Linked DNA regions of Astyanax mexicanus. The protein of the gene in region 1 purifies or fractionates together with the protein of each later gene. This does not show direct contact. Links are inferred from orthologs where the notes say so. Each region holds a gene or a part of one and is shown on either strand. Other genes may lie near its edges.

Evidence for each region.
Region 2: the proteins of cpsf1 (region 1) and fip1l1b fractionate together in Homo sapiens (co-fractionation; 8 studies listed by BioGRID and IntAct, with this or other methods). This does not show direct contact. The link is inferred for Astyanax mexicanus from reciprocal best matches to the Homo sapiens genes CPSF1 and FIP1L1.
Region 3: the proteins of cpsf1 (region 1) and sympk fractionate together in Homo sapiens (co-fractionation; 5 studies listed by BioGRID and IntAct, with this or other methods). This does not show direct contact. The link is inferred for Astyanax mexicanus from reciprocal best matches to the Homo sapiens genes CPSF1 and SYMPK.

Annotation. Positions count from the first base shown.
Region 1 is NC_064410.1:32,869,849-32,880,389, forward strand, and holds the start of cpsf1 (cleavage and polyadenylation specificity factor subunit 1), read right to left. Parts: upstream 5,063-10,541; 5' UTR 4,961-5,062; intron 4,877-4,960; exon of another isoform or gene 4,730-4,876; intron 3,717-4,729; 5' UTR 3,695-3,716; coding exon 3,551-3,694; intron 2,334-3,550; coding exon 2,172-2,333; intron 1-2,171. Other genes in the region: uncharacterized protein parp10, read right to left, coding at 7,545-7,840. UniProt on the Homo sapiens protein: Component of the cleavage and polyadenylation specificity factor (CPSF) complex that plays a key role in pre-mRNA 3'-end formation, recognizing the AAUAAA signal sequence and interacting with poly(A) polymerase and other factors to bring about cleavage and poly(A) addition.
Region 2 is NC_064432.1:5,938,542-5,949,854, forward strand, and holds the start of fip1l1b (pre-mRNA 3'-end-processing factor FIP1), read right to left. Parts: upstream 4,221-11,313; 5' UTR 4,032-4,220; coding exon 3,947-4,031; intron 2,620-3,946; coding exon 2,556-2,619; intron 1,855-2,555; coding exon 1,794-1,854; intron 1,616-1,793; coding exon 1,509-1,615; intron 1,277-1,508; coding exon 1,212-1,276; intron 1-1,211. Other genes in the region: tspan5b (tetraspanin-5), read left to right, coding at 5,798-5,878, 6,679-6,729, 7,073-7,219, 8,551-8,721, 9,578-9,703, 11,006-11,053.
Region 3 is NC_064408.1:29,755,059-29,765,846, forward strand, and holds the start of sympk (symplekin), read left to right. Parts: upstream 1-6,568; 5' UTR 6,569-6,725; intron 6,726-7,645; 5' UTR 7,646-7,653; coding exon 7,654-7,728; intron 7,729-8,184; coding exon 8,185-8,250; intron 8,251-8,341; coding exon 8,342-8,395; intron 8,396-8,489; coding exon 8,490-8,563; intron 8,564-8,928; coding exon 8,929-9,055; intron 9,056-9,190; coding exon 9,191-9,440; intron 9,441-9,677; coding exon 9,678-9,848; intron 9,849-9,933; coding exon 9,934-10,173; intron 10,174-10,552; coding exon 10,553-10,704; intron 10,705-10,788. Other genes in the region: hnrnpul1l (heterogeneous nuclear ribonucleoprotein U-like protein 1), read left to right, coding at 1-130, 887-1,186, 1,612-1,784, 1,867-2,109, 2,364-2,492. UniProt on the Homo sapiens protein: Scaffold protein that functions as a component of a multimolecular complex involved in histone mRNA 3'-end processing. Specific component of the tight junction (TJ) plaque, but might not be an exclusively junctional component. May have a house-keeping rule.

The sequences.
Region 1 (10,541 bases):
CGTCGCGAAAAACAAGATAACGTGTAAACCGCGTGGAGCGACTCCATCTCCGGTAAAAACACCACTAATCTTTCAGCTTCTGCAGACCAGAGTCCCACAGATCTCCATGCAGAGATCCGCGTTTTAATGCTGATGTTATTTCATGAGCTGATGTGTTTAACTCGGCAGTGCACTAAAACACAGAACTGATACAGAACCCTAACTCATTAAGATCAGATCATCTGCTTAGTCTCACAGTGGGAAAGATATAGCTAGTGTTAAAGGAACAGGTCAGAAAGGAACTCAATAATATATCCAAAATAAAACAATAAAATAAGTGAATCTATGAACCTAAAAGTCTGTGTAAAGTTCCTTACAGCACTTTCTCATAAGTTTCTTACTTTAACTCATGAAGTCTCTCAGTACATCCTGAGAGCATCTCTACAGGACAGTGTGTGAAGGTGTGTTTTTTGATCTCATTTATAGACTGTAGCTACAGTAGGTGTGCTGGGTTAGTGCTGGAGATAAAACTAGATCATTTAAAAGCTGTTTTTGCATCTACAGATCTGTTTAAACTATAATTTAACTATTCAGTTGTTTTATGACCTGATTTCTAGAGCAAAATTTTAAATGTAAAATATATATAGTCACACACCTATAATAATAATATACATTAAATCATATATAAATATATTTCACATTCAAACATTAACAATATTACTCAAGTGGTTATTAAACGTTTCATTTCGTATACGTGTAGAGTTAATAATTCAAGGGAACTGATGAAAAAGCATTTACATTTACACCCTTTACATTTTAGTCGACTAAATTTACTGTAATTTTAGTAGACTATATTCTTATGGCATTAAGTCGACTAAAACTAAGTTGACTAAATTACTAAATTGTGACCAAAACTAAATGCTATTTTCGTCACAAGACTATAACTAAGACTAAATCAAAATTTGTTGTCAAAATTAACACTGGTGGCAAACCTGCAAGTAGATAGCTTACAGTTGTTGTTACATTGTTTGGTTTTAAATTGTTTTATTATCAATTTATAGAAGTGTTTCATAAAATTGTTTGATGAAATGGTTTCATAAGTATTTTTATAGAGTGATTGAAAAGGCTTTTTTATTTGTTTATCTATTTGTTAACTGGAAAGAAAAATAAAAGAATAATATGCAATATGTGGTTGCTACATTCATTGAGGCTTAAAAAAACCACAATATTGTAAGTAATCCAAAGTAATCAGATTACGTTACTCACTTGAAGTAATGTAACTGATTACGTTACCAATTACATTTTGAGTGATGTAATCAGTAATCTGTAAGGGATTACATTTTAAAAGTAACCTTCCCAACACTGGACGTCGGGCCCTCATACCATCCTCATGGAGTCGGTTTCTAACCGTTTGTGCAGACACATGCACATTTGTGGCCTGCTGGAGGTCATTTTGCAGGGCTCTGGCAGTGCTCCTCCTGTTCCTTCTTGCACAAAGGCGGAGGTAGCGGTCCTGCTGCTCGGTTGTTGCCCTCCTACGGCCTCCTCCACGTCTCCTGGTGTACTGGCCTGTCCCCTGGTAGTGCCTCCAGCCTCTGGACACTACGCTGACAGACACAGCAAACCTTCTTGCCACAGCTCGCATTGATGTGCCATCCTGGATGAGCTGCACTACCTGAGCCACTTGTGTGGGTTGTAGAGTCCGTCTCATGCTACCACGAGTGTGAAAGAACCACCAACATTCAAAACTGACCAAAACATCAGCCAGACAGCATAGGTTCTGAGAAGTGGTCTGTGGTCCCCACCTGCAGAACCACTCCTTTATTGAGTGTGTCTTGCTAATTGCCAATAATTTCCACCTGTTTATTCCATTTGCACAACAGCAGGTGAAATTGATTGTCAATCAGTGTTGCTTCCTAAGTGGACAGTTTAATTTCACAGAAGTTTGATTGACTTGGAGTTATATTGTGTTATTTGAGTGTTCCCTTTATTTTTGTTTGAGCAGTGTGTATATATATATATATATATATATATATATATATATATATATATATATATATAATATATATATCACTGGTCCTTTTCTATCAACTACAACTGATACAGCTAAACCTTACAGTGCAACATGTGTTGTTTCTGCAGTGCTAGATTTAAAAAAAAAACTTACTCTACCACAACAGATCTAATTTTACCTTGGCATCTTTGAAGCTCAGGAGCAAAGCATCTCTGTTGTTCCCTACAAGCTGAACGCTGGCCATAGACATTACATTTCCAAAAAGAGAGAAGGACGCCACCTGCTCCAGCTTCTCCTTACGGCTCTTCCCATCTGATAGTTTTTCTGCTTTTGCCGGATTCTGAAACGAATAGTAAAAATATTAAAATAAGTTCATACACAGTGTAAAGTTCAGTGTATAAAGCTATACTGCAAGGCAGCTTTACAGATATAATATAATGACACAATATGTACCCAAACTAATAAGTAGCTGTATATGGGTTTACAGTTACAATGACTATAACCCTATCCGGACCAGATTAGTTTCTCAGGGGGTCCTGGGGTAATTTTCTCTCTTATGGATGGTCCGCTGTTCAAGTGGAAATGGAAGAGCTACTGAACGTGAATAAGGTTGCATTCAGCATCAAGAGCGTTGGGAAGGTCAGCATCATCACCTCACCTTAATCCCATGCACACAATTTATCCCCAACTTGCCATCATTCCAGACAACACAGGTTCACTGCTCCCATCTTAATTCTGAATAGACAATGTACCCCCTCTAATCCATACCTGGCATTAAGCATGGTGCCAACAAGCTCATGTTTATCTGCTGCAGAGTCCTTTTTTATTTTCTACATACTGTACTTCTGTGCAGGCACAAAACAATGATGATGAGGATGATGTATGTGTGTATTTCCATGTCTGTATCAGCAATGCATCATGAATGAGCTGAAAATCTTTTTGTTTTCCCCATTTTCTCAAGGCCAATTGTCCCAACCATCCCAATGCAACTCAGCTCTATATCCCCCATCGCAAGTGATCCCTCAACAAAGGAAGGTGAAGACTAGCACATAACTCATCCAATACATGTGAAGTCACCCACCACTTCTTTTTAAACTGCTACTGATTTAGCATTACCAAGTAGCATCACAGCAAACTCTGAGGAGTCAGCTCAGGGAAAGAGCACCATCTACCCACCCAGAGAGAGCAAGGCCAGCAGATAATGGCAAGCTGCGTGACCGGGATTCAAACCAGCAATCTCCTGATGATAGTTACAGCACCAAACAGGAGTTAACCACAGTCTTGGACTTCACAGCATGATAAATAGAGACTTTCTTTTAAAACAAAGAACAAAGTCTACAACCAGGCTTTATCCCTGTCCAGGAAACCTTCTCCTGTGCAACACTCTTCTTTTAAATCAGTCTCTCCTCTCTAAATGCTGTATAGTCCAGGACCAATTTTTATCCCTGTACAGGAAACCTGGTCCTGTACGACACAGACTCTCCAGTTAAAATGCTGTAGATAGTCCAGAACTAGGCTCAACCTTAATCTGAGAAACAAAAGAGTTGTACAACTTACTTCAAAGTCATGAATAATCCTGTAGACGTAGAGCTGAGACGTTCCAGCCACTACCAGGTTCTTCTCTTCGCTGGATATAAAGTTGCAGTAGACGGAGAACTCCAGCCCGGTAGGCTGGTGGGCCTGCCGGTACACAGCATACATCCTGCAGCCCCCAGCTCAGCACCTGAAGAGCAGCCCGCACATATTAACCCTTTCACAGGCCAGCATTTTTGTCAATTTTCTGCCTGATTTTACACACCTTAATCTTGAAGATTTCTATTCAAGCATTACATAAAAAGCTTTCAAGGTTGATAATATACATTACTACAATTTCTAATTGTAATTGTGATAGAAATTATAAAAAAAAAAAAAAGTAAATCTGCAACTTTAAAAATGTAATGAATAACAGTCATAAAATTGTCTCTTTCCTTAACTTAATTTCAAAAACAGTATTTTCCTAAATACAAATCAAGCAGTTCGGGTCCTCCAAATCTTTCGTTTCATTACAGTTGTCCAGTTTTTATGTTTTTTTTTTTTTAAACCTGCAGGATTTGGGTTTGATTCCTGTTACTGATCTGAAATTATTAATTGGAGTAGAAAGTAAACAGTCATCTTCTATAAGTGTCCCGTAGGAGATTTCAGAGCCCTCCAAGTTTTTAGAATGAGACCAACCTATTTTACTGCAGAGAAAAAATGTTTTGTATCATTTACACTTGTACCCTGTATACGTTTCAATGCACCTATTTTAAAACTAATTTAAACAAGTAGCTACAATAATTGCAGCTAGATATAGGCTTAAAACACTCAAATTTGTGTCTGTATATTAAGATGTAGGAGAAGTGGGTCTTGGGGGGTTACTGTGTTGTTTACATTCACGGCAAAACATCTCTCAAAACTGCGAATCTTAAATTAGCGTCTTATTGAGATTGGATTTTAATTTCTAACTACAACGACAGCTACAGCAGTTTAGCTGTACATTGTAGCTACAATCGTTAGAAAGGTTAATTAACTATTTGCCTAGCTAACTAACCAGCGTTAACGAGATTAACATTTAAGGTGGAGCAGAAGATTAACAATATAAAGTAAAACTAAGCTTCACTTTCAAACTAGCGACCATTACAAGCGCCAAACACATTCTCTATTACAAAACGTCTGCAGATAAAAATTGTGTTTTATTATACAGACGAAATAACCTACAGCATCTGTCTTCACTTCTTCACTCAGAGCTCCACACGCTTCTGCTCATATTAGCGTGTTAGCCAGGTGCTAGCTAGGTTAGCTAACATGCTAATGCTAACTTTTATTAGTTTAAAACACAAGTAACTCTTAGCTCCTTCACTCTCGGAACAACAGCACCTTACAGCTTCCACCTTTAACCCTCTCTGTGTCCCCCCCTCTGCAACAAAATCACATTTTTAGAGGAATTACCAGCAGAACAGAAACAGCTAGCAGCCTAACAACAACAACGAGTCATTCATTACACTTCCCACAATGCCCGGCTCCAGTCAGAAAGGGTCTGTTCCAATTTGCGCGTTGTGTACACTTGTGCACTTTCTAGTGCACTTTCCAGGTTTGACTCTTAATTACCTTACGAAATTTTTGTAATCCATACTTTACTAAAGTATTTTTTGACAACTTTTTTACATTTCTTACATTTTAAAAATAGATTTGTTACTTCATTTGGGCTTGTTTTTATTCGGGACTCTTATTGTTTAAAAAGAATAGTATACAATATAATAAAATGTATTTGCATTCCCATTTTTAATGGGCAGATATGCAGCTGAAACAGGGATCCTAGTGCATCCCAAAGTGTTTAACATTAACATTTTAATATAACATTATAATTACTTTGGCTTTAAGAAAATTGTTTATCTTTGTTTATTATTTATAGACTGTCCCTTTTGAATACCAGCTTTTGCTTGTTTTTATAATGTAGAAGTTATGTAATGGTACTATATTCATTTTAATGTGAAATACTTTATATTTCCTTTATTTTTTATTTCATTTCTTGACCACACTGATAAAATCACCTTTGACAAACCTTTGTCACCACAATACAATGACAATAATAAAACAATAAAAAAAAAAGAGAAGCCTTATGTTCACCATGTCCAGAAGTGTCATAAAATTATCTGGGCTCTAAAGGCATCTGGGACTGGGGACTGATGCAGTGGGATTCCAAATCTTTTTTGGAAGAAATAGATGCCATATATTTCAGACCAAAGATGAAAAGGACGATCCAGACTGTTATCAGCAACAAGTCAAAAAGCCAGGTCTGTAGTGGTATGGTGGTGTGATGCAGCATTAATGCAGAAAAGTACATTAAGACCTTCAGGACCATATCTTTGTCATGGCTGCAGAACACTTCATCACCAGCTCCAAAACATATTTTAAATGTTTGACAAAAAAGCAACATTAAAAAGTGATACATGCTTTACTGACATAACTTTTCGGAATGTGTTGCAGGCCTGAAATGCAGAAATTGATGTATATTAATAAATTACATTTTTAAATTAAAGTTGACGAGACAAAACATAAAAGATCTTGTGTTCAAAAGACAAAGGGAATGTAGGAAACACTGTGCTTTTTTAATAAGCATTTTCCATACTGTCCCAAACATTTTTCTGATTTGGGGTTATACAATACTGATACCAGTGTGTTTGGGGAGTTGAGGGCAAGCTGGTAACGTATAAGTGCCTTTTGAATTACTTATAAAAATGTAAAGCAATAAATGATGCTAATGTATCAACAATGGAATACAGGCAAGCTCTATTAAATTGTGTTTAATAGTCCTTTTCACACCTTACAGACATTAAGGATTTCTTGTCTTTATCACATTATCCTCCAAGTGTGTAACTGAATCCACACTAGCAATGGCAGCCTACACAGAGTAGTTAAGGGCTGTAGTTCATGAGTACTCTTATACACTTACATACACACATTTTTGGACACTGGTAAACAGACTTTTATTTACCATTCTTTCATTACATTCACATTAAATACAGCAATGGCATATTAAAATATGTGTTTCTATGGAAAGAAATTTGGCTACAGTTGATTAGACTAGATAGACTAAATAATAAATGCATTTACGGTATTTGTATTAATCTTTTATGTTAAAAAGTGCAGAAGACAAAGTTACTAAAAGCACAGAGAAGACAGAAGACCCGACAATAAGAAGCCCACATCCAAGCCAAGCTCACATTCAACCGTCACGGTAAGGCATTTTTTTTATTTCATACTGAGAAAAACATCTTTGGCGCTTCTCTTTTTTTTATACAGCAGATCATGTCAGGCTTTAATCTGTAAAGTTCACTGACCTGTTTCCTTTGTAATTTCAGGCATAGCAATCTTAATAAAGGAGTAATAGGTAAAGTAAGAGCATCTCTATACCACTTTTTAAGACGTGACTTGAAACTACAGTCATCGAAACCACAGTTAAATCATACTTAGTAAGATTGACCTTAATATTAAACCTAATATTTTAAATCTGTAGAGAACAGGCAGATCATGAAGTACATACTGGAGCTTTATCTGTGGTATTTTTGTAATCCAGTATAATTTTGAAGTATGTGTAGTTATTATAGTCTGACTAACAATTTTTAAAACAATTTTAATCCAATATGAATTTGCCTTGTGTATAATCCCAGCTAACAAAAACACAGATGTTATTTTCTGACAGTTATCACTGTGTTTGGCTTAATTCAAGTATGAATCTGCAGTGTGTATCTGCAGTCTCTTAGAAATAATCGTGGAGTGACTTTAATCCAATATGAATTTGCAGTGCCTGTAGTTCCTACTGTTTAAGTGATGGTAGTTGTGTTGTAATATGTTGTAACAACATATTTTGACAGAAATTACCACAAAACATTATAGCCTGTGGCATCAGTGGGAATATGGGAATTTATGGCAATTACACTGGTACTTTATCCTAAACCACCTAACCAATCATACTACACTTGTTAAAATACAATTCTTACTCAGATGAAACTTACTCAGCTCCAATCGGACTTCAATTAACCTTCTTGCATGTAATAAGGTACTGCGGGAATGCCTGTGTGTCATTAAAGATAACAAACAACGTTGGGGAGTCTATTTTATCCGTCACACTGTGATACCGGGCAGCTATTTCAGAACCCTCCTTCGGTGGCGCAGCTTTCATTTCATGTCTTCCCACGGTGTAGTCTCCGGTCAGCACTTTGGCTACAAATATAAACTTGTGTCCGTCAGCGTTTTGTGGGGAGTAGGTGTCCGACACAGACAGAGCAGATTCTACAGCGAAGTACACACCTTGCCCATATACAGTAGCTGTGGGAAATAAATATATATTTATGTTAGTATCAATGACTGAATAAGGTAATAAGGAAGCATAATGTCAAGTTCGGTGTCTAATGTTTTCTTCTAGTAGTCTAAATGTAGCTAACACCAACAATTAGCCTTATGCTAACTGTAGATAGCACATGCCTAAATCAACACATACTCACTTACAGTTCTTTGTGTAGATGCCATTTCTGTTGGTTAATTTAATTAACCAATTAATTTCCTCTAATTAATAACATAATTCATCACTGATTTCAGATTCAGATTACTTTATTTATCCCCAAGGGGCAATTCAAACATCTATGTAATGCTGCAGGCCGGAGCCCAAGTGGGCGTGGCTAAAGGGTGGAGCATGTGTCAATCATTGTCGACTGCAGCCAATCAGATACTACACTTTTGTTGTCAATCACTTTTTATTAAGCCAATCCTCAGACAGACCAAGCTGTCCATCATTTTTTACTGCAGCCAATCACCTTAACAGATCTGTTAAAAGAAGGCGGAAACTGCGTTGCTACTGGTTAAACGTAGCGCGATTTAAACATCTGAACAGCGGTGAAGCTGAATGTGTTTTACAAAATACTACATTAACAGTTTAAACACATTTATGTGATACTGTAGTTAGTCCTGCTTATATGCCACTCTTAAACAGAAGTAACTGAATGAAAACATTAGAAAAGCCCTGACTTTAGATATTTTTAAATCAAAGATACTCGTTTTTCTGGAATGGCACTTTCGTGATTTTTTTCCTTTATTGCAGTAATTCCAAAATTTCTCCTCGGGGATCAATAAAGTGTCTGTCTGTCTGTCTTGCATTAAATCGTGTATACGTATGTGTACGTATATATATATATATATATATATATATATATATACAGGTGCTGGTCAACGAATTAGAATAATTTGAAATAGTGCAATCATGAAATTCTTTGAATGCATTTTTTGTGCAGAAAGCAAATCAGGTGTTCACCGCACCTGTCCTACTCGTTAGACTAATCACAGAACTCGTTACCTGGAAAAAAATTTGCTCAGCTGAGCTTTCCAAAAGGCCCATTTAGGCCATTTAACTGTGACACTGTTGTTTTATTGAATTAGAATAATGGAGAAACCGTTTCATTGAATTAGAATAATTTTTATTATAATTACAATCATCACTTTCTCAGTATTTTGTGGCTGCCCCCTTGGCTTGTATGACTGCCTGAAGTCTCCGCGGCATCGATTTGACCAGCTTGTCGCAAGTTTCCGCACTCACAGCTTCCCAGGCAGTGGCGATGTTCTGCTTCAGTTGGTCCAGCGTAGTAGGCTTTCTGTCGCGAATTTTCCGCTTGACGATGGCCCAAAGGTTTTCAATGACATTGAGGTCAGGCGAGTTGGCCGGCCATGCCAAAACTTCAAGCTGTTTTTTAGTGAACCAATCTTTGGTCGACTTTGCCGCATGAGCCGGTGCAAGATCCTGTTGAAATATGAAGTCTTCTTCGCCGAACTGTTCCTCAACAGTCGGAATCAGGAACGTTTCCAGAACATCTTGATATACGGCAGCATTGACAGTCTTCTTGAGGAAGCAGAGTTTCCCTACACCTTGAGCGGACATGCATCCCCAGACCATAACGCTCTGGGGAAACTTGACGGATCTTTTCACGCACTCGTGGTTGTAGGTTTCGCCACCACGACGCCAGACATGAGGACCTTGGTCACCGAAGGAGATGCAGAAGCGTGATTCGTCACTGAAGACCACTTTCTGCCAGTCTTCAGCAGTCCACTCGCCATGTTCTTTGGCCCACTTCAGCCGTTTCTCCATTTGTTTCTTGTTCAGCATCGGTTTTACTGCTGGAACGCGAGATTTGAAGCCGAGTTCGCGCAGACGACGGTAAGTGGTTGATCTGGAGACGTCAGCGCCGGTCTGCTTGTTCCACAAGTCGGTGAGCTCGGAAGTGGACTTGAACCGGTTGCTGACTGCGATCTTTCTCAGCTGCTTGTTGTCGCGAGCAGAAGTTTTTCGGACGCCGGAACAGTTGGTGCGCTTGCTGCAGTTTTTCTTCAGAGCTTTGCAGACGGAAGACTGGCTGATGCCGAGCTGCTCTGCAATTTTAGTTTGGGTCAAGCCTTGTTGGCGAAGAGCTTGAATTTGAGCCACTATTCCGGTTGAGAGGTCGCGCTGCTTACCCATGATTGATTTTACAACTTAGAAATTCTACTCAACCCTGACTTTATACTGCACAGTGAACACTCTTCACAGAAAACAAAAATTTGAGCATTTATTCTAATTCAATGAAACGGTTTCTCCATTATTCTAATTCAATAAAACAACAGTGTCACAGTTAAATGGCCTAAATGGGCCTTTTGGAAAGCTCAGCTGAGCAAATTTTTTTCCAGGTAACGAGTTCTGTGATTAGTCTAACGAGTAGGACAGGTGCGGTGAACACCTGATTTGCTTTCTGCACAAAAAATGCATTCAAAGAATTTCATGATTGCACTATTTCAAATTATTCTAATTCATTGACCAGCACCTGTATATATATATATATATATATATATATATATATATACACACACACACACACACACGTATACACGATTTAATGCAATAACAGCAATAAAGGGAAAAAAATCACGAAAGTGCCATTCCAGAAAAACAAGTATTTTAATCTTTAAAAAGTCAGGGCTTTTCTAACGTTTTCATTCAGTTACTTCT
Region 2 (11,313 bases), on another chromosome or scaffold:
TTAAGTAGAAAATGTTGTCCGTCTATACTTTACTGGAGTGTTTATTTTTCACACATTTTTTATACTACTTTCTATACATTTTCACTCGATTAACTTAACATCCTACTCCTTACATTTTAAAAATAGCATCGTTAATCCCATTTAGCTTGTTTTTATTCTGGATTCTCCTTGTTCAATAAAACCCCTATTCAGATAACTTTCTCTATCCTGACAGAGTGAATTAGACTTGAATTAGATATTATTTTGACACCCTATTGGTTTATACGATCCATCAGAGCTAGCGGTTGGATGTTAATGCTGCTGCACCCAGCCTTAGTGGAAATCTGGAAATCTAAGCTCACTGTAAACAAATGGAAGTATTCAGGAGAGAAATTTGTACAGATTAACATCCGGGGCTTGTTTGACTTTAAAATATATATTTTTAAGACGAACAGTTTAGTTTACTTAGCTTAGAATTTAAATATAACTTTATAGTCATTATGGCTTTTAGTAAAATGTGTTGGCGAGGGGGGGTTGTAGTGGACCATAGGTCCTATGGCGTTGCCTAACCTTTTGCCCTAAATAGCATTCTTTCACCATACATTATTTTTACTTTTGAGTAGATACTTCAGATTCTACAGTAGCATTTAAAATACTAGTATATATCCACCTACCTGAGTAATAAATTTCAAAACTTTTCGCACTTTTGATTATATTGCCTTATATTGCGTACAGTTCAGTGTTCTCAAAATCAGTGTATATTGCTACTATATAGTCCAGAATGCGAATTAGCTAAATCAAGCAATCTGCAGACGACAATTTTTCAGAAGTGTTATCTCAGGGGATGACTTGTAAACAGCCACACCTCTAGAAAATGTGAGTTTTTATCTTGTGAGTGACGTTATACACTGGCCAGCATGCTCATGGCAAGGCAACATGAATAAAAGGAGTTGTAGTGAGGCTTGATAGTGGGTGCCAATAGTGGTATATTCCATTTCTGAAGTTGTGAAGGCTTTTATCATTGTTCAATCATGACTCAGAGTGTCATGTGTATTGTCAATCTATTCTACAAGACACTACCACCCACAGTGGACGACAGCACAGTGGGTGGTAATGACGATTGCCATCTAACCAGAATTGTCTGTGCATAAAACAAGTGACTCTAGCAGTCCAAACATCCTGTCTCATGAGTTGTGGCTTGTTAGCATGACTTATTAATTTACAGATTGTACCTGCTCCATACGGCCTGCTGCCACCAGACTTTATGTTCAGATTGACCGGTGTTGCCCCGTATGTCCTGAAAAAGACACCACAGCTTTAAATACAGCACTTATTACAGCATTACTACAAAAACATCCAATCAAAAGAGCAAAAAACATAATGAAATTACTGCAATAACTGAAAAAGTAACTTTTCAATTAAATTATTTTTTTTTTTAGATGCACCTGTCCAACTCCATACAATGGAGTATGTTGGTCTTCTCCCAGATGACAGGTTCTCTACAGTAACACAGAACACATCATACTCACGTGTACTGCGGTGCGCCTGTCTTGATGTCACCGATGGTAACACGGACGTCATCGTCGTCATCATCACTGTCACTTTCACTATCCTCATCGTCTCCAGGAGCTTCCTCCTAAAAAAAGCCACAGAACTGATCATTTACACACCAGTACCTACACAAAACTGACTACTACATGTATGACATGGCAACCGCATCAATCGTATAGCTATGACTCTATTCTAAATACTGTAATTGTATGAGTGGTAACTCAGTCCCTAAGTTTATTATAATAACTTAAATGTACTCTTACCTGACTAGCCACTCCATTGCCGGCAGGGACTTCCTCAGTAACAGGAGCGGCAGGTGGAGCACTGTAAAAAGTAGATGATCATTTAGTGCTGGGCGGTATAAGCAGAAATTAGGAGTACATATAATATAGAAGAATAATGCTTTAAATTTTCATAAACTCTTTAAATGGTCTTAAAATGCTCAAAATGTAAGTAATCAAAGAGATATTTCTCAAAAGCTCTATTGCACAAGTAAAACACAAATTTAATATCAATGTACTATGTGTTATTCTTGAAGCCATTAGAGGCATTACAGTATTAATAGTGAATATTTGCTGTAGTTTTTTAATTTTACTCAGATTAAACACCCATACAGTGAGAAACAGCAGCAGGTGCTCCTTAGATAAAGTGCTGTTCTCATTTTTCTCTGGGCAGGACGGAGCTACTATTACTCAAGTGTGTTAAGTTGTTGTCCTAACTGGCTAGCGTTAGGTAGCTAGCTGTATCTGCTTCTTTGGTGGTGGTGCTGCTCTACACAGCGATTCTCTAGCGGTCTGGCGGTACATAAAAAAATCCATACCGGTTTTAATTTCTGGTACGCGTTTTAATTGACCGGTATACCGCCCAGCACTACTATCATTGATACAAATCAAACTACTCCAGATCCACCAAGTACAAACTACAACAGTTATAGTGTAACCAGAATCAAACTAGACCAGTTTCAATGTGAACAGAATCAAACTAGACCAGTTACAGTGTGAACAGATCTAATGTATGTATAATACCTGATTGCTGCGGTCAGTTTGGCCGCCACCTCCTCCTCCTCATTTTCTTTGGTTTCTCCTTCATCTGGATAAACACCAACAAGTCAATATTAAACAGTACATTTTTATATATAACATGATTTTATGCTTTTAAGAAGGTATAAATGCAAACTAACTTAAATTACAATATACAGTAATATTTCTGTAGAATAACGTCTAGAAGTCATAATTAACCCAGAACCCAGAACTCTGTTTAGTTTTGCAATACTGAGACACAACTGTATTTGATCAAATACAAAAAAAACAACAGTTCTAGTGTAAATACTTAAGCAAGGTCTATTTGTTTTGTTTTATATCCATATATTTTCTTTCTAGAGAAATTAAGTATTTCTTCCAGAAAATGTTTATTTTCATTCATGTGCATTGGAACAAAAGTAAAAATTAATTAAATATTACAAAACTTCAAGAATATTCAGGACTATTTGGCTACCACTCTCACCTACTGTGAGGAGTGAGTGTTTGAGTGTTTGTTAGGAGGGAGTGTAAGTGAGTGGATAAGTGTTCGTGCAGAGTGAGTGTTTGTGAGTAGAGTGAGTGAGTGTGAGTAGAGTGAGTGTTTGTGAGTAGAGTGAGTGTTTGTGAGTAGAGTGAGTGTTTGTGAGTAGAGTGAGTGTTTGTGAGTAGAGTGAGTGTTTGTGAGTAGAGTGAGTGTTTGTGAGTAGAGTGAGTGTTCCTGCAGAGTGTCCGTACAGAGTGAGTGTTAGTGAGTAGAGTGAGTGTCCGTGCAAAGCGAGTGTATGTGCAGAGTCAGCCAGTGTGATGAGTGAGTGTTTGAATGTTAGAAGGGAGTGCTAGTAAGGGAGTGCTAGTGAGTGAGTGTTACTTAGGAGGGAGTGCTTTGGAGGGAGTGTTATTGAGTTTTAGGGAGTGAATAAGTGTTAGTGAGGAATGAGTGTTATGGAGTGAATAAGTTTTAGTGAGGAGTGAGTGCTTTGGAGTGTTATGGAGTAAGTGTTACTGAGTGTTAGGGAGTGAATAAGTATTAGTGAGGAAGGAGTGTTTGAATATTAGGGAGAGAGTGTTATGGAGCGAATATGTGCTAGTGGGGAGTACGTTTTTGGAGTGTTATGGAGTGAGTGTTACTGAGTGTTAGGGAGTGAATAAGTGTTAGTGAGGACGGAGTGTGAGAGGATGGTGTGGCTGAATGTTAGGAGGGAGTGTTTATGAGGTGTGAATGAATGTTACGGAGTGAGTGTTTGAATGTTATGGAGTGAGTGTTTGAATGTTATGGAGTGTTCAGGAGTGAGTGTTGAGGAGAGAGTGTTATGGCGTGTTGAGGAGTAAGTGTTTTAATATTATGGGGTGTTTTGGAGTGTTCAGTAGTCAGTGTTGGTGTTCAGTATTGAGCTCACCTCCGTACAGCCATTCCTCCTCCTCGTCCCCCGCCGCCGCGCTCACCTCCTGCCCGGCCGCTTTCTCCGCCTCTTCCGCGGACATCTCAGCTCTGCTCAACCCGCCGAACCGCCCAGACCGCGCAGCCTCACCCGAACACCTCAACCACACTGGAACCGGATCAGAGAAGACCAGAAACCGGATTGGAGGAGGCCAAAACCGGATTAAACGGGGGAACCGATCCGTCTTACCCCGCACACTAACCGGAGGAAGACTGCTGCCCTTTGAATACGCAACTTCCGCTCTGTGTGACATAATAAAAGTCCATTTGCTAAAAACAATCGATGCTTCTTTGTTTTGTTTTTTTTTCATGCCTCTATTTATTACATTAATATTAGATTGGGGAGTGAAAAAATATAATAAATGGCACTAATGTTTTTTTTCTATTATCATTCCTGCAGAGCCACAAATATTAGGTTTAAAAACCGTGACTGATTGTAAAGCTCCATAATTACGTTTAAGGGAACTGTTGAGTACATTATCCGAATCATTTTTGTACCAAATACTATCCAACAAATCTAAACAGAAACAGTAATAGACCAATTTTGCGAATCATATATCCAACAACATAAAAAACAAAAAAATAAATAAAAACAAAATAAAAAATTGTGGGATTTAAACTAAATTTAAAAGCTTCAATGGATTTATGACTTCTTATTTTTTATTCGTTTTATTTTTTAATTATTTAAATTTACGATATGTATATAACTATATAGACCCAAATAAACAAATGCTTGGAATGAAGGTATTTTGGGGCAATTTCAATTTGTGCGTATCTTATTTACCTAAGATTATAACCAAATGTATTATAAATCTCTCCTTGTGGTCAAATAGGGGTTATCAAAAATATACAATATACAGATGTCTCAAGTCTCATGAAAGTCGGAAAAAATAAGAGATGGACAAAATAATGAAAAAGGTTCAGTTCTTTCAAACCTTAAATAATAATGCAAAGAAAATAATCATCATCTTCATAACGATTTAAGAGTTCAGAAATCAATATTTGGTGGAATAACCCTGGTTTTTAATCACCAGTTTTTATGCTTCTTGGAATGTTCTCCTCCACCAGTCTTACACACTGCTTTTGGATAGTTTTAGGCCACTCCTGGTGCAAAAATTCAAGCAGTTCAGCTTGGTTTGATGGCTTGTGATCATCCATCTTCCTCTTGATTATATTCCAGAGGATTTCAATTTGGTAAAATCAAAGATATTTTCATATTTTTTAAGCGGTCTCTTATTTTTTGCAGAGCAATAGCCAAATTATAAAGTTCTGTTATCCTTTGGTGTGTGCGTGAGTTCTTTTTTTTTAGACAGGGGAGGGGGTGATTTAAGTCCAGGTCGAGGATAACCTCTCTGAAATTAATTTTTGTAAATTGGGTCACTTCTATATTGTAATGTATTGTAATGTGATTTGATGTAAATATCCTCGCTTAGAGCGAACCCAGAGCTTGTACTCGACTTTTATTTTGAAATAAGTTTATTTAAGGAATGGAGCTGGGCGGAAGTGATCTGATCTGTCGCTAAGTGGTTGTGGTAGGGAGCGCCGCTCCGTTGTTGTGGTGTTGAGCTGGGTTGAGCTCGTGTCTCTAGACACGGGTGTATTTCGTTTCTCGGAGGGTTTATTTTGTTAAATAGCGCCTGCGGGGCGTTTAGAGGCGCAGACTTTAATCCGGCGCGATGGTGGCGGCGCTGAGCAGCGGGTGAGCGGCGGACAGGAGGCGGTGGGTGAGCGGAGGAGCGGCGACGGAGCGGCGACGGAGCGGCGGCTCGGCTCCAGCGGATCTCTCGGAGAGACGCAGCGCGCGGTAAAGATGTCCGGGAAGCACTTTAACGTGCACGAGGTCGGGTGCTGCATTAAATACTTCATCTTCGGGTTCAACATCATCTTCTGGGTGAGAGAGCGGCGCGCGGTGTTACTGTCTCCCCCCCCCCCGCGCGCACTGTCAGTCTGTCAGCCCGGTCCCTCAGCTCCAGAGCTCGCAGAGCTCCCGGGTTCATCGGGTCCAGGGCTTCAGTCAGAATGAGGATCTGGATCTGGTTTTAGCTTAAAATCACACAAATACTTACAAAATTCACAAACCAGACAATCTCTAACTCTGTCTTTACTGAAACAAACTCAGATATGTTAAAATGCCATGTTTAAAATGCAGTTTTAAATCTTTGCCCCCTACAGATTTTTTTTACATACCAATTTTTTTTTTTCAGATTATCAAACAAACTTTAATATCAGACAAAAAAATGAGCAAATATAAAATTGGCTGACTTAAAACATTTCTACAAAGTTAATATGTCCTTTGCACAGTGTAAATATTAATACAATTATTAACATTTTTTTCAGTGTAATAATAGCAGTAATAACTGTTATTTGTATTGGTGACTAATTATAATAACAACATGATTTATTTTTTATTAGCTTAGATTAGCGCTATTTTGCAACGTTATTATTATTATCATTATTATTATGATAATATTCTTTATAATTTATCATATATGCATGTTACTGTACATATTTGAAGTATATAAATATATATATTTATATACTTCAAATATGTAGTATATGTAGTTAACTATTTTATATATATATATATATATATATATATATATATATATATATATATATATATATATATAAAATAAATCATTTGCAATGTGTTTGTTCACTCATTATAACTGATGCTGAATCTCTCCTCAGCTGCTGGGGGTGGCGTTCTTGTCCGTGGCTTTATGGGCATGGAGCGAAAAGGTACACACACACACACAGACACACACACACACATAGACACACAGTATTACACACAGAGTGATCTATTTTAAGCGTTTATTTATTTTATTGTTGATGATTATGGCTTACAGTCAATGAAAACCCAAAAATCCAATAACAATAAGACCAATTGTTATTTTTGGCAGTGTGCCAAGTCCTGCTGGAAAATGAAAACCACATCTCCTTAAAAGTTGTCTGCAGAGGGCAGTTCATATGAGTGAGGAGAGGGTTAATTGGCTTTCAATATTGGGCAGAAAATGAGACAAAATGACTCTCTCACCTCACTCGTTCTCTCTCTCGCTCTCTTTTTCTCTCTTTCTCTCAGGGAGTTCTCTCGAACATCTCCTCCATCACTGATCTGGGAGGGTTCGACCCTGTCTGGCTGTTTCTGGTGGTTGGAGGGGTGATGTTTGTGTTGGGGTTCGCCGGCTGCATCGGAGCGCTGCGGGAAAACTCCTTCCTGCTCAAGTTTGTGAGTCTGTTTCCTGTGTTTTTGTGTACAGTGGACAATACAAATGTAGAATTTCAGGACATTTGCCAGAGAACAAATAGGCAGACCCCTGGACATAATAAACAATCAATTTTAGGACTGTTGGAGAATATTTTACTTATCTTTTTTATCCTGGTTTAGGGGTGAACAATGCAATATTATCACGGTATATTTTCCACGATAACGAAGATTTCACAATACTGTGATTCTCAGTATATTTAAAGACAATTCTCTATGATATTTCACAACATCTTTTGGTGTCGGTTTCATAAAATTTAGCAACCAATATTCCTTACTGCAGGTTTAGACTATTCGTTTGATCTTAGCGCCACCACATGGAGTAATATGTAGTTTGACTTTACTAAGTCAAACTAGCGGACTAGTCTTAGGAAGTTTAAAGGGCCTATGTTTCAATACAAATATCGGTATTTGATGCCACATATTGATCATATCAATAATGAACCTGCATATCGCAATACCATTGTATTCGTTAGAGAGGATTTTGGAGGAGTCTGTCCAATTTAAATATTATTTCGGATCACCTATTAATCTGGACAGACTACTCCAAAATCCTTCTTCGAATGTTGAAACTGGGGGAAACGCCAAAGTGAACAAAACTGTAATTTTTATAAAAAAAAAAAAAAAAGACTTTTCGTTTGAAGTCAAACGAGTGCTGGATGTTAATCTATACAGATTTCTTTCCTTAAAGCTGTTTATTTGGGTGAGTAAAGCGTTTCCGTTTATTAACAGTAAGTTTAGACTTTCAAAATTAGTATAAGGGAGAGTTTTCAGTGAAGCTTCTCCAGCACTAAGGCTGGGTGCAGCGGCACTAGCGTTAGCCGCTAACCGCAGTGCTAGCAGGTTTTAAATACTGCCGGTTCGTCCCACATAGCTTGTTTTAACATGGCAAACACGCAGACTACACTCCAATATACTCGCCTCTGAACTGCGAAAGAGCTAGCACTGCGGTTTAGCGGCTAATGCTAAAGCTGCTGCACTCAGCCTTAGTGCTGGAGAAACTTTATACTCTGAGAAACTATGTGCTCTGTGCTTATAACGCTGCACTTCAGCAGAGGTGCTTTACTGCTCCTTAATACCTAAATAGTAAAATGTATACATAAGGTGCACCGGATTATAAGGCACACTGTCCATTAGATTTTTTGGGAAAATAAAAGGAATTTAAGTGAGCCTTATAGTGCGAAAAATATGGCAAACCTAAGCAAAAGTTTTTCATAGGGTTTACTGGCTTTTCATGACTGTTATTCAGATTCTTTCCTTCATTTTCTTAACATTTTTTTCTTCGCCTCCTCCAGTTTTCCGTATTCCTGGGGATAATATTTTTCCTGGAGCTGACCACTGGAGTTCTGGCCTTCGTCTTTAAAGACTGGATCAAGGACCAGCTCAAGTTCTTCATCAACAACAACATCAGAGCCTACAGAGATGACATCGACCTGCAGAACCTCATAGATTTTACACAGGAATACGTAAGAATATGCTTATTCATGGGGCATATTTTTGTTATTAGGGATGCACAGAACATTCACCAATCAAATTTGTTCGGCCAAAAATGGCAAAATAAATGTACCAAATAGTTTTTACTATACAAATTATGTTTAGTGGAGAAATCAGAAGGAAATACATTTAGTTTTGTTATTTATGCAATGCTAAAAAAAGTGGTAAAATTAATGAAGAGCTGCTAAAAGAAAAAAAATATTACTAATTATAATGGGATTACATGGGATTACATTGCACTGCTATTACATATAAATACTGTCAATCATCCCAATCGATGATACAAAACCTCATATCTCCAAAGCAGCAAGTTGATAGGAGAAGGAACTCTTATGTCTTTGTAATTCTTAAGAGAAAGTCAATATATATATTTTTTTTTCTTCTCAAATTTACGACATACATGCTGTATTCTTACATGAGGCTAAGCGCTGCCACTATGATTGGGAGATTGTTGTTCGAATCCTGGTCATGCGGCTTGCCATCAGCTGCCGGAGCCCTGAGAGAACACAATTGGCCTCGCTCTCTCTCTCTCTCTGGGTGGGTACAGTAGATGTACAGGGTGATGTCGATCAGCACAAGGCTGCATCTGTGAGCTGATGTATCGGAACCGAGTCGCTGCGCTTTCCTCAGAGTGTTAGAGCTGTGATGCTACTCAGCAATGGTGTGTCTGATTTTACATGTATCCTCCTTGTGTTGTGGCATCACTAGTGATGGGGGATATGCAGCTGACTAGCAGCGGAATGGGTGGGACAGTTGGTCTAGCTAAATTGAGGAGAAAAAATGGGAGAAAATTAGAAATAAATCGTAAAACATCTCTTGCATGCACAGTGGGAGTGCTGTGGAGCATTTGGGCCAGAGGACTGGAATCTGAACATCTACTTTAACTGCACCGATACCAACCTGAGCCGGGAGAAATGTGGAGTACCGTTTTCCTGCTGTACAAAGGACCCTGCTGTGAGTACTTAGACACTCTGACTCACACACTCTCTCTCTGTCTCTCTCTCTCTCTTTCTCTCTCTCTCTCACTCACTCTCACACACACACACACACACACACACACACACACAGAACCCATGATTACGTCACCAGCTCAGAATGTCGCTCCTTCTTCCAGAAGCCATGAGAACATAAACAGGGAGTTTTCAGGATTTCCCAGCCTAGTGCAGCAACTTCCCACAACTTCCTCACTGTAACAAACTCAACTCAAACACTTATATAAACTTAAATAAATACATAACCAGTGCAAACAAATGCTGCTACTTCCCTCGTTGGCTTGTGTTTCATCCGGTATTCGCAAATTACATTATGAATTGAACCTCATCACAACATATTTCTTTACTCCAAATGAAAACATATTTAAAAACGATTTATTTAATCCAATGTAATATTATATATATTTAATCATTTTGTTACTCGTAGCTGCATTGCGCTTATACAGCTGTGTGACACGCCTGCATGGAAAGGGAGTTTGCAATCCGCCCTGTAGTCTGTGAGAATTGCCAGTACACAGGAAAAACATCTTTCTCTGGTTTATCAAAATATTTTTCCAAATATTAACCCTCGGCAGCCATGAGTTATACTGCAAATTAGAGGAGGACAATCATACATATTATTTATTATATATTATTAGGTATATCAAGGATATCATCACTGCTTAAAGAACACTGACCCTACTGCACATTTTATTACAGTGTAAAAAAATCCTGTAAAATTTAATGATGTGCTGCCAAAACGCAAAAATAAAAAGAAATCACTGTACAGTGCATTAAGGAATATTTGTTGGTTTTCACATCTGTCACACCTTTGTTTCTCTGGTGCAAATCAGTTAATTAGTTTGTTAAATTGAAGCATTTTCCCCCTCGTTTTGGTTTGTTTTCACACAGGCACAAACCTGAAGGCCCCAAAATGCATACCAACAAACCATTTGAGCAGATCTGAGACAAGAAAGTAAATAGAGCAAGACAGTCCTGTGTTCCATACCCACGCGTGTAGTTATATAGTGTAAAGCTGCTTTGATTTACATCAAACACAAAACATTTGTCGATGTCCACACATTATATAAATATTGTGTACCTTAAAAATGTCTTTATTTAAATATTTAAATAATATTTTATACCATATCGCCTAGCTTTACTGCAAATGTGCTGTGCTGTTAAATAAAAAAAAATTTAAAAAATCACATTGATTTTTCAGATTAACGTGTCTTCTCTCTCTCTCTCTCTCTTTCTTTCTCTCTCTCGCTTTCACTTTTTGCAGGAGGATGTGATCAATACTCAGTGTGGTTACGACATTCGAGCTAAAGCTGTGAGTGCACACTTCATAGTCCTGCTTTTGTTAAGTTAGCTTGACAAGCTCACTTAAATACAATCTCATAGATCATTATTATTAGCTAATTAGCACAGATATATGTAATAATCTAACTCTGACAACTACAGTGTATTCGTTTTCTGCTTGTGCTGGTACTGGTACACAATATAATAGATTATTTTATGCGGTATGAAACTCTTATATTTATACTAAATAAGATGTTATTGTATTTATTCTATTTATTTTGTTGCAGTAGT
Region 3 (10,788 bases), on another chromosome or scaffold:
CCTTTTGAAGGGTTTCAACGCAAGGCTATTGTAATTTGTCCCACGGATGAGGATTTAAAAGAGCGAACGTTAAAGCGAACTGATGAGGAAGGGAAGGATGTACCCGATCATGCTGTTTTAGAAATGAAAGGTAGGAATGCCACAGATAAACAAAAAACAATGCTTCAACTACACACCCAGATCTGCTTTTGCTATGTTTTTGTTTTTTGGATTTTTTTTGTTTTTGTTGTTTTCCCCACAAACTTGGAGATCCCCACCTACCCTCTTTTGTTTTGCCAGATAAAAGAGCTCCTCTCCTTTTTCTTGTTCTTTATCGTCATTCTGTTCTCTTCCCCTGTAACTCAATTTCCTCCAACGTTACATTTTCTGTACCACAGCAAACTTGGAAAACAACATGAAATAATAGATTGGCTTACACAAATTAGCAACTTTTTTATTCACTATCAATTTGGATTTATTTAAGTTTAACGTTTTATTTTTTGTCCAGTTTATCAACTGTATAAGGCAACTGTACGTCCTAATTGATTTGCGGGCACAATCTCCCTTAATCTCTTATAACACTTTTTTTCTGGCAACTGTCTTTTGTTGAATTTTCTTTTTATATTTACCTTTCATCGTTTACCCTTATTCTGGGACAAGTTTTGCCTTAATCAACTAAGGCAATAGTTGTCCGAGGTCCCTCTGAGTCTCCCACCACATCATCTTTTCTCTTTCTGTCTAACTTTCTCTCTTTCACTGTCTCTTTTTCTTAACTACTTTATCTGCTCAGTCTAATGTTTCTTTTGACCACCACTGTTATGATGCTAATAATTCTTTGTTTCTTGGCTGTGCGGCTGTTCTCTCCCTCACTGCGTGCCCTCTGCCCCCCTCCCCATCCTACCTGTAGCCAACTTTGTGCTGCCTGAGGCTGGAGACTTTCTGGATGAGGTGATTTACGTCGAGATGCAGCGTGAAGAGGCAGAACCACTCATCAAACAGTACAACGAGGAGGGGCGCAAGGCCGGCCCCCCGCCCGAAAAGCGTTTCGACAACCGCCAGGGTGGATTCCGTGGCCGCGGAGGAGGTGGCGGTGGTGGGGGTGGTGGTGGTTTCCAGCGCTATGACAACCATGGCGGACCTCAGGGAAACCGAGGCGGTTACCAAAACCGTGGCGGACCTGGAGGAGGAGGTGGTGGCTTCCGTGGAGGTATTAGGCTTTCAAACTATATGATCTGATAATGTCTCCTTACGTAGACTGGTCACGGTTTTATACTAACTTTTTATTGTTAGGTTAAATAAAACAGTTTATTGATAAACATAAACATTTGCTTAAATAACTGAGAATAACTGATAATTGAGAATATGTCAGCATGTATCGGCCAAATCTTGGCATGGGCCGGATTCCAGTGATTCTAAAAAAAAAAAATAGTAATAATAATCTGCCGATATAATTCCGATATCATTTTGCATCCCACAATTATGCTCTAGGTTTTATTCCAAAGCATTTTACAAAGCAAAGCTTCCTTTTCTCACTCTCCTATTTATTGTGCTGGTGCTGCCTAGTGATTTGAATATGCTCTTTTATGTTTCAGTCGGATAAATGGTGTATGTGTTCCTTTGTGCTTTCTGTAGGTTACAACCGTGGTGGATACAACCAGAATCGCTGGGGAAGCAACTACAGAGATTCAGGTGGCCGAGGAGGCTACAATCGCAATCAGCAACAGGGAGGCAGCTACAACCACAATCGCCAGGGCTCCTACAACAAAGGTAGCTCTGGAGCCAGCAGCAGCTACAGTCAGTCCCAGGTAACTTGTTAATTTGTGGTGAATAGTTCAGGAAAGTAATGGATTGTGGTTTATGTTGTAATAACTAAATTGTTTTGTATAGCCTCAAAGCTACAATCAAGGTTACAACCAAGGCAGCTACAGCCAAGGTTACAACTACGGAAACTATAGCCAATACCCAGGATACAGCCAGGGCTACAGCCAGCCACCTGCTACCACGAGCCAGTCATACAACCAGCAGCAGCAGCAGCAGCAGCAACAGCAGCAACAACAACAACAACAACAACAACAACAACAACAACAACAGCAGCAGCAGCAGCAGAGCTACAACCAGCAGTATCAGCAGGTAAGCTACTTCAGCACTACAGATGTTTGGGGAAAGGATATGGTGTGATGAAACCTGCAGTGACACACCTTTAAAAAAATAACTGGACAGTAGCATCATAGTTCTTTGTGGTACCTTAAATAAATATCATCTTGGGGTCTCTCAAACATAGTGTCAGGAAACGTATCTAGTACTTATTTAGAAATAGTTTTGATAATAGTGTTTGTTTGACCTGTGATCTTGATTGATCTTTTTTTTCATTGTTGTGTTTGCAGTATGCTCAGCAATGGCAGCAATATTACCAGAGCCAGAGCCAGTGGAACCAGTACTACAACCAGTACGGAAACTACGGCAGCTATGGCAACCAGCAGAACACGCAAGGCTCCCAGGGCACACAGCAGTAGTACCTGCATCGACCGTGACCCTCCAAGCTCATTCCGTCAACATCATTCCTCTGCCTATCTTTTTATAGTCTCCGTCTTATCTTACCCTCACATAGTCTTCCTTCTCCCTTACGCCACTCCCCTTTAAAAGCTTTGTATGTTTTTTGTTTGCTTCTGTTACTTTTTACCCTATTTGCTCAGCCTTAAATGTAACTGCATTTCCTTGCGCTCCATTAATGCATTTTAGTTCTGGTGGCAGTAGCCAGTTTTGCTCTTGAAGTGTTATGTTAACTCAGAGTTTAGTTCAGATATTTATAAACGGCAAGCAGGCAAATTTATATGAGTAGCGACATGTGATGTAGTTTGTTCCAGATACTGCACGCACAAATGTGCTTGAACGCTTTGTGGTTGATTACGTGTAGTGGGGGCGCAGGATTTTACATCTGATCAGTTTTGACAGTTTTGTATGTAGAAACTTGTTTCTCTGCTCTTTTTATTCATCTTTTAAGAACCATATTTTCCCTCATTGGTTTAAGAAAGCAATCTTGTGTAGATAAATACTAAGTGAACATTTTAACAGCATAATTCTTTCTAACGCTTTAATTGAAATCATGTACCTGTGGAGTTTGTCAAATCCTTTTATATACCATTCTTAATGTCTCAACTGGCTGGCTTCATGTCTTCTCATGTTTAGTGAGCATTAGTTGCTCCTTGTGTGGTTGTAAAAGTTTTTATACCTTGTACCATGTTTGTAAAACAATATTTGCATGTGGTTTTGTGTCAGATCAAAACTCACTTTTTTGTATTGGAGAATATAATCTAAGGAAATGACTTGATTTGTTGTTTTGTAGTTTTCTTTTATTCAAAGTGATTGTAGATCATTTGTTCTTGAAAGCAGCTTTCAGTCAGACCAAACATTTAAGTGACTGAAGTTACTACATCCATATGTGCAACCAATAGTAATTATTTAAACTACTGATATATTTTTGATGAGCACTATAGATTTTATCGGTACAAAACGTGTCCAGTAACAGCATGTAAAGGTGAAAAAAATGAATAGGATATTGCTAAAATATCCCATCTTGGACAGTACCTACGGCTATTATTAAACCTAAAGTAATTAATGTTAGCTAATTTAACCAAATCTCTTAAAAAATGAACTGAAATTGTGTTAAAAAATTTTCGTTCTAAATGGTTTGTATCAGAAATGTGTACTTTTACGGCAAACGATTGCAAAAGTGCATTTCTGTTTATAGTGGTTATCTGACCTGCCTGTGAAAATAGATTAATGGATGAGTGTAAAATGATAAAAGAATTTGTGCACAAGTATATTAATAAATAGTGTAAATACACATGGTCAAAATCAATATAATAAAACCTTTGTGTCTTCAGCATAACTGTTTCAGATTTATAGGCTATAACAATATATTTTTCAAGATTTACTCTGAAAGAACACGTTATTACAAATATAGAGGAATGTTAAGCTTTAGTTTAAAGTACTTTTTTTTTATTTCAAGCGGTTTTCTTTAATGCGAAAATGTTCTTTAGTGCGCAGATTTTTGCAATGTCTGCAGAGTTCCCTGTTTTCTATGTATCATATTGTGTGTATAATTAGCTGAGGTAAAGCTTTAGCTGTCCACCCTGTCCTTCTAAAATATCCAGGTAATGGACCAAGGTCACCATGAACAGTTTCCAAATGTATGCAAACCTAGGTCATTCGTGTTTTCATTAAATGCCAATTTTTGCCAAAACTGTTTACCCTGTCGTGCATCTTAAGTGAACAAATGTGCTTGCCATTGGAAAAAAAATAATTATTTCGGAAAAATTTGATTTCTGTACCCATATGTAAAATGTGTGTATTGCAGTAGAATACAGAAAATTGTCCAGTGAAAAATATCATTCTCCATTTGTGTAGCTACTATATAAACTATTTAAATAATTCTGAATAAAAAGAGTGAAATCTTCCATTTTAAAACATTTGCTAAATTTCAATTTTGGATATATGCTGGATATATGCTAGGTGTTTTAGTGGACATGGCTTTTGTAATTGTTTGTAATTGTAAAAACATCAAATTAAAGGAATATAATGCCCATATACTGGCTACAAGTGTAGATGAAACAAACATACAAAGCCCCTAAGGTGACATCATGTTAAAAAAAAATAATGCATGGCCATGATTTAAGGTGTGGGAATGAAATCCTAAGGCATGGCTTAAAAATGCATTGGAACAAGATAATTAAGTTGTAGCCAGAGAATAATAAAGCTTGCTTTTCTGTAAATTAAAACCCATGAAAAAGATTTATTACATATAAGCTCCAAAACAAGGAAAATTTGTAAGAAAATGGAGAGTTAATAGGTTTCTTTTTTATTTTCATCTTGAAATTAATGATGGCGATATTTTGGAGTCTCCTGCAGTGAGACAAGACTTAATCTAAGTAAAAGACTCTTAATTTTCAGACTTAAAGCTAACGGGCTCAGACGCAGACAGTATACAGACCCGTTTACCTTCATTATGCAGTCATGTTCCAGATCTTCCTTCCACTACCAGATCAGGAGAATCTCTCGCTATTTTTAAGAAACTCCTGAAGACAGAGATCTTCAAAGAGCACTTACTCTCCTAACACCTCTAACAAACTAACTTCTTCTAACCTCACTCCCTTCTTCCCCTCCTTCACTCCTCTATCCTACTATTTCTCTTTGACCTCCTTTAGGCCCTATCTAAAGATGCTTTTACCATTAACATCTATTACTTTTTGTACTTCACTATTGTAAGTCGCTTTGGACAAAAGCGTCTGCCAAATGTAATGTAATGTAATGTTGTGCACAACCCTTGAGAGCTGCTTGCTTTGTTTGCTGTGAAACAAAAAAGCTTATGACCACACCTCAATGTCTACGATTTAATTAACTTGTTCCCACGCCCTAATATGTCGTGGCCATGCCTTAATCATCTCATTCCCACGCCTTAATAAGTTGTGGCCATGTCTTAGGATCACATTCCCATGCCTTGTTTATCTCGTTCCCAAGCCTTAATTATCTCATTCCCTCACCTTAAGTTGTGGCCACGATGAAAGAACTCACTCCCACTCCTTAATAAGCTTGGCCACGCCTTGGGATCTCATTCCCACGCATTTTTTGTTATGATGTCACCTTGGAGGTTCTGTACGAAACTCTTTCTCTGCAGTAAAATAAGTTCTTTACATTCTGAAAACTTTCAGGGTTTTTGAGGACCATGGAGAAGCAGCCTTTCCACTCTCTACTACAATAAATAGATAACTCCAAATTAGTAAAAGGAATCTATGGAGCCCCTAAGGTGACAAAATATATAATAATGTGTGACTATGACTTATTAAACTGTGGGAATGAGATCCTAAGCCGTGGCCACAACTTATTAAGACGTGGAAATTAGATAATTAAGGCGTGTCCACAAGGTCCTCTTGTTTCACAGAAGCAAGCAGCTCTTGTGCACTATATGACTGCCTAAGAAAGGTTAACGGGTCTGTTTGCGTCTGAACCCATCAGCGTTTAGTATGACAATTAATTGTCTTTTACTTAGAATTGTTCCATGTTTCACTCCAGGAGACTCCAAAATCTTATCATAATTCATTCCAAGATGAAAATAAAAAGAAACCAGTACACTCAATTTTCTTACAAAAGATTGTCTTTGAATTGGAGCTTTGATGTAATATTTTTTCATGGGCATTAATTTACAGAAAAGCAAACTTTATTATTCTCTGGCTCTGACTTATTTATCTTGTTCCCTCGCCTTAATAAGTTGTGGCCACTATTTTTTTTTTTAACAGGATGTCACCTTAGGGGCTCCGTAGGAATTCCCAAATTTTCCATTTTTGAAAATAGACATAAAAACTAGATAACCGTAACGAAATGTTTGGAGGACATGGAATGTTTTATTTTGGTTCAGGAAAGTTTGAATTTTAAAATGAGGTTTAGTTCAGTTTCATGATTTTTATTAATTATACTTTGACAGCTGCAGATTTAATTCAAAATAAACATGAAACCCTTATATTTAATGTCTGAAGAGAAATATCAGGATCCGCAATATCAGGCTGATTTATTATTATTTTTATAATAATAAATGGGCTGTGAAGTTTAGACGGAAGTGTATGTGTGTTGTGAGAGTCTCCAACAACCGACACTTCCGTTCAGCTCCGACATGGCGCCTGTGGAGTGAATGGAGTGATGGAGATGTGGAGTTTACAGCCGGTCTGAGTGAACAGGAGAGAGATAACACTGCTGTGAGTTACTGTAACGAGACTCTGCTCTTTAACTAACCCCGCGGGCCGGTCTGGTGCTTCTCATTTACTATTAAAACACTATAATACACAACCGGCTCAGAGGCCAGGCTGTAGCTAACGGTAACTATGTTAGCTTAGCTAAGCTAGCTTTAGCTAGTCAACTAGCTGATTAGAATTCTCCCAACAGTCAAGACTCAATATTCAAAGAGAGTTTACGGTCATGTGAACAGTAAAGGAACAGGGTTCCTTCTACAATTAAATTCTTTATGTGGAAAAAAAAGTCTCACACAGAACTTTAGCTACTTGCTAAGCTAGCTAGGTTAGCTAACTAGCTCCTCATACAGTGAATGGAGAAAGTGACTTGTGTTTATGTAGTGTGGACCTGAGTGTTATCAGAGTAAAAGCCCAGTTGGTAGTGTAGCTCTGTAACGAAAAAAGCTCGTAGTTAGTTAGTAGTTGTAAATGTAGACTGCAGGTCTCACACAGAATCCAAACCCACAGTAAAATAAATCTCAAGTGTGTTTTGTTTAATTTGTAGTAAAGTGGAGTCGATCAGTGCTTCTTCAACATTTGTGGCACTGTGACTCCCCCAACCCCAGCCAGGGATTTTTAAATTTAAAATAAAGATAAATGGACATGCCTAAAAATCGTATATAGACAGGTCCATTGCAACAGGACAGGCAAATCAATCAATTGCCTTTTTAGTATCTCTTTCAAATGGGGCCCCTTCTAATTGTTACAAAACATTTTTTCAAAAACTATTGGCCATGATGATCAAAACTAGTCATCGCCGAATAACATTAACTTCCTTTTCATAAAATTACCCTGATCACAAGGTTCAATGTGTTATTCCCCAGCAGAAAGAAATAATGGAATTGCATGGAAGTCTGATTATTTTTTGAAATTTTGCTGTTGTTTAGCAGACAGAATGGCGTCAGGCTCTGGAGAAAGGCACTTTACTGGATCGGAGGAAGCAGCCATCGATATGACCACCAGTGAAAAGGTAATATAAGGGATCCTTTGTGGCTTGGCCGATCACTTATGCAGTTCAAGTTCTGTAGTCCATAACGCTTCACAGTGTCTTACGTTTCTGGTTCTAATACTCCTAATTCAACTTAGGGAGTGCTTACTTACAAAACTGTTGGTCAGCAGTGGCTTAGACTACATCATGCATGGCTCTTGCAGTCCAGGAGGATTCTAAAGGTTTAAAGAATTACCTACTCAGTCACACAATATAAGGCTGTGACCAGTTTTAGAATGGTTGCTAGAGCAGAGGAAATATCACACTGAGCGAGACTGTGGCTTGTCAGAAATAAAAAAAAAATCATATATATGTATATATATATATATATATATATATATATATATATATATATATATATATATATATATATAGCTTTTGAATGTGCATCACAATGAAATGTTTTAACTGTTCCTCACAACTGACTGTGCATCATAGGTAGTGGACCTTTTGAACCAGGCTGCTTTTATGTCCACTGATGATAAACTTACTGCACTTAAGCAGGTAAACATATTTCTATAGCATTGTGTGCCATTTTTACACAATCAGATGTTTGAATTGCATGCTTACTGTAAATATTTGTTTTGATTATTAGGTGCAGGAGTTGATTATTAACAAAGATCCATCATTACTTGATAATTTCCTGGATGTAAGTAAAATCACTTTTAGTGTTCTATAAAAGCTTCTAAAAAGAAATCCTTAAGGCATAAACTAAAATGTCATCTCTCTCATTTCATCTGCAGGAGATGATTGCGTTTCAGACAGACAAGTCAATTGAAGTGCGGAAATTTGTTATTGGCTTCATCGAGGAGGCGTGGTGAGTTCTATTTTTGTTTTGTTTGTTTACGTGATGTTCTTATTGCATTTCTTAATACTCATCTGCATTATTTGGTCATGTTGGTTGGCAGTGCCAAATATACAACTGCTCTACTATATACAGTAACAATGTATGAAAAGGTGTGTCAATATATATGTGTTGTATAGTGTAGTATTAATAATGTATGTGTGTAAGTTTACTTTACTCAGTCTACTTTATCGTACACATAGAGATTTTTGAGCTTTGAGTTAGTGCTTCATGTGACATGTGTGTATAAAGCGATGCTGTTTAATTTACATAACAAAGAAACTCTTTGGTGTTAATAGCCGAGAACCAGGTAATGTCGTTTACTTGTGCTGTTTCAGTAAACGGGATAATGAGCTGTTGCTGAAGCTGATTGCGAATCTGAACATGCTGCTGAAGGATGAGAGTGTGAATGTTGTGAAGAAGGCCATCCTCACACTCACTCATCTTTACAAAGTGTCTCTACAGGTATTTTTCCTGCTTTACTGCTTTACTTTTTTATGTTGTCATTCAGTACCTTGTAATGACTGACATTTAGAGCCAAAGCCTTTTGCAGCATTTCTCTTACTGATATCTGACTGTTTTGGTTTGTCTTTCTGCCAGTGGTTGGTGCAGTCAAAGAGTGTATCTGAAATGCAAGAGGCATGCTGGAATATGGTGACCCAGATGAAGGAAGAGGTTCTGGCTCTGCTAGATTCAGACAATGACGGCGTTCGCACCCATGCCATCAAATTTACTGAATCCCTCATAATCGCCCTATCACCACGGAAACCAGACTCAGATGTACCCAAGAAGCAAGAGGGGGACATCAGCCTTGACAAAATTCCAAAAGATCACTCGTACATTCGCTATGGTGGGTCAAATCTATGACAAAGTTGTGTTTAATGAGATTTTTAAAAATATTATTTTATGCTTTTACACAATAAATTATTTAACCAAAGTACAAAATCTAGTTTCAAACTATATATGGCAAACAGTTTTTGTGTTTATTTTTCTCCCATCATTTGGCAGCTTTCATGTCCATAAATCCAGGTTTAATAATTTTTTTTTGTTTCTTGTTTTGTTTCGTATTTAATCCCTCTCACTTTAGATGTTCTTTGTGAAGAGGGGAAGTCTGCTTTAGAGCAGCTCCTCAAGTTCATGGTGCACCCAGCCATTTCCAGCATTAATCTCACCACAGCTTTGGGATCACTGGCCACGCTGGCCCGGCAAAGGCCCATGTTCATGTCAGAGGTTGTACAAGCCTATGAGACTCTTCATGGTGAGTGGAAATCTTATAGTGATTGTGGTGATTGTTAGGATTCTACTCAGACAGCCCTGACCGCCTGACTTTTTTTCTTTTATAGCCAACCTGCCCCCAACTCTGGCCAAGAGTCAAGTGAGCAGTGTGCGAAAGAACCTCAAACTGCACCTAGTGTCTGTGTTGCGGCACCCTAGCAGTGTGGACTTCCACAGCCAGATCTCCACGCTGCTGCAGGACCTTGGTATGGCTCAGAGTGAAATCGCACGCTGTGTACCTGCTGCTGCGCAACCTCGCAAGAGATCCCGCCATGAGCCCTACAGTGAGGGCAAGAGGATCAAGATTGGTGAGTAGACAGGTTTTCTGTATCTTTTTGTGTAGATGTTAATAAACAGCTGGTTTATTCTCTGAAAGAGATGGTGACATTTACTGTAGTTAAAACCAAGACATATTTAAAAAAATGCTGAAAAGTTGCATTTTGTTTTTATTTTGTACTTGAGCATTAAGGCTACCAAATTACAAAGTTGGTTTAGATCATGTTATGCAGTCAATGGGCAATTCTACTGATATGGTAATGAGTTGTTTAGATGTACAGAAAAATCATTTAATTTAAAATAGCGAATTGTGTTTCATTGCCTCATCAGATGTCAGATAATTATTAGAAGTACAGTCTCTGAGTGGTTGTCAGTTTGAATAACATTAGGATTTTTCTGCCCGTCTCCTAGAACCCGCGCTGATTGAGGATGATGAGGATAAGGAAGAGCCAGCCCCTGTTGTTGCCCCCAAGCCTTCAACCACCACAGGCACTCAGTCTGCCATAGACCTCACTGCTGACTTCATACGGCCTCTGCTAACACCGGAAAATGTGGCCAACCTGGTATACACTGCTTAAACAATGTGTCTAAAGATTTATAATCCAATAATTATATTTATTTATTGATTAACATACTTCTTCTGTTGC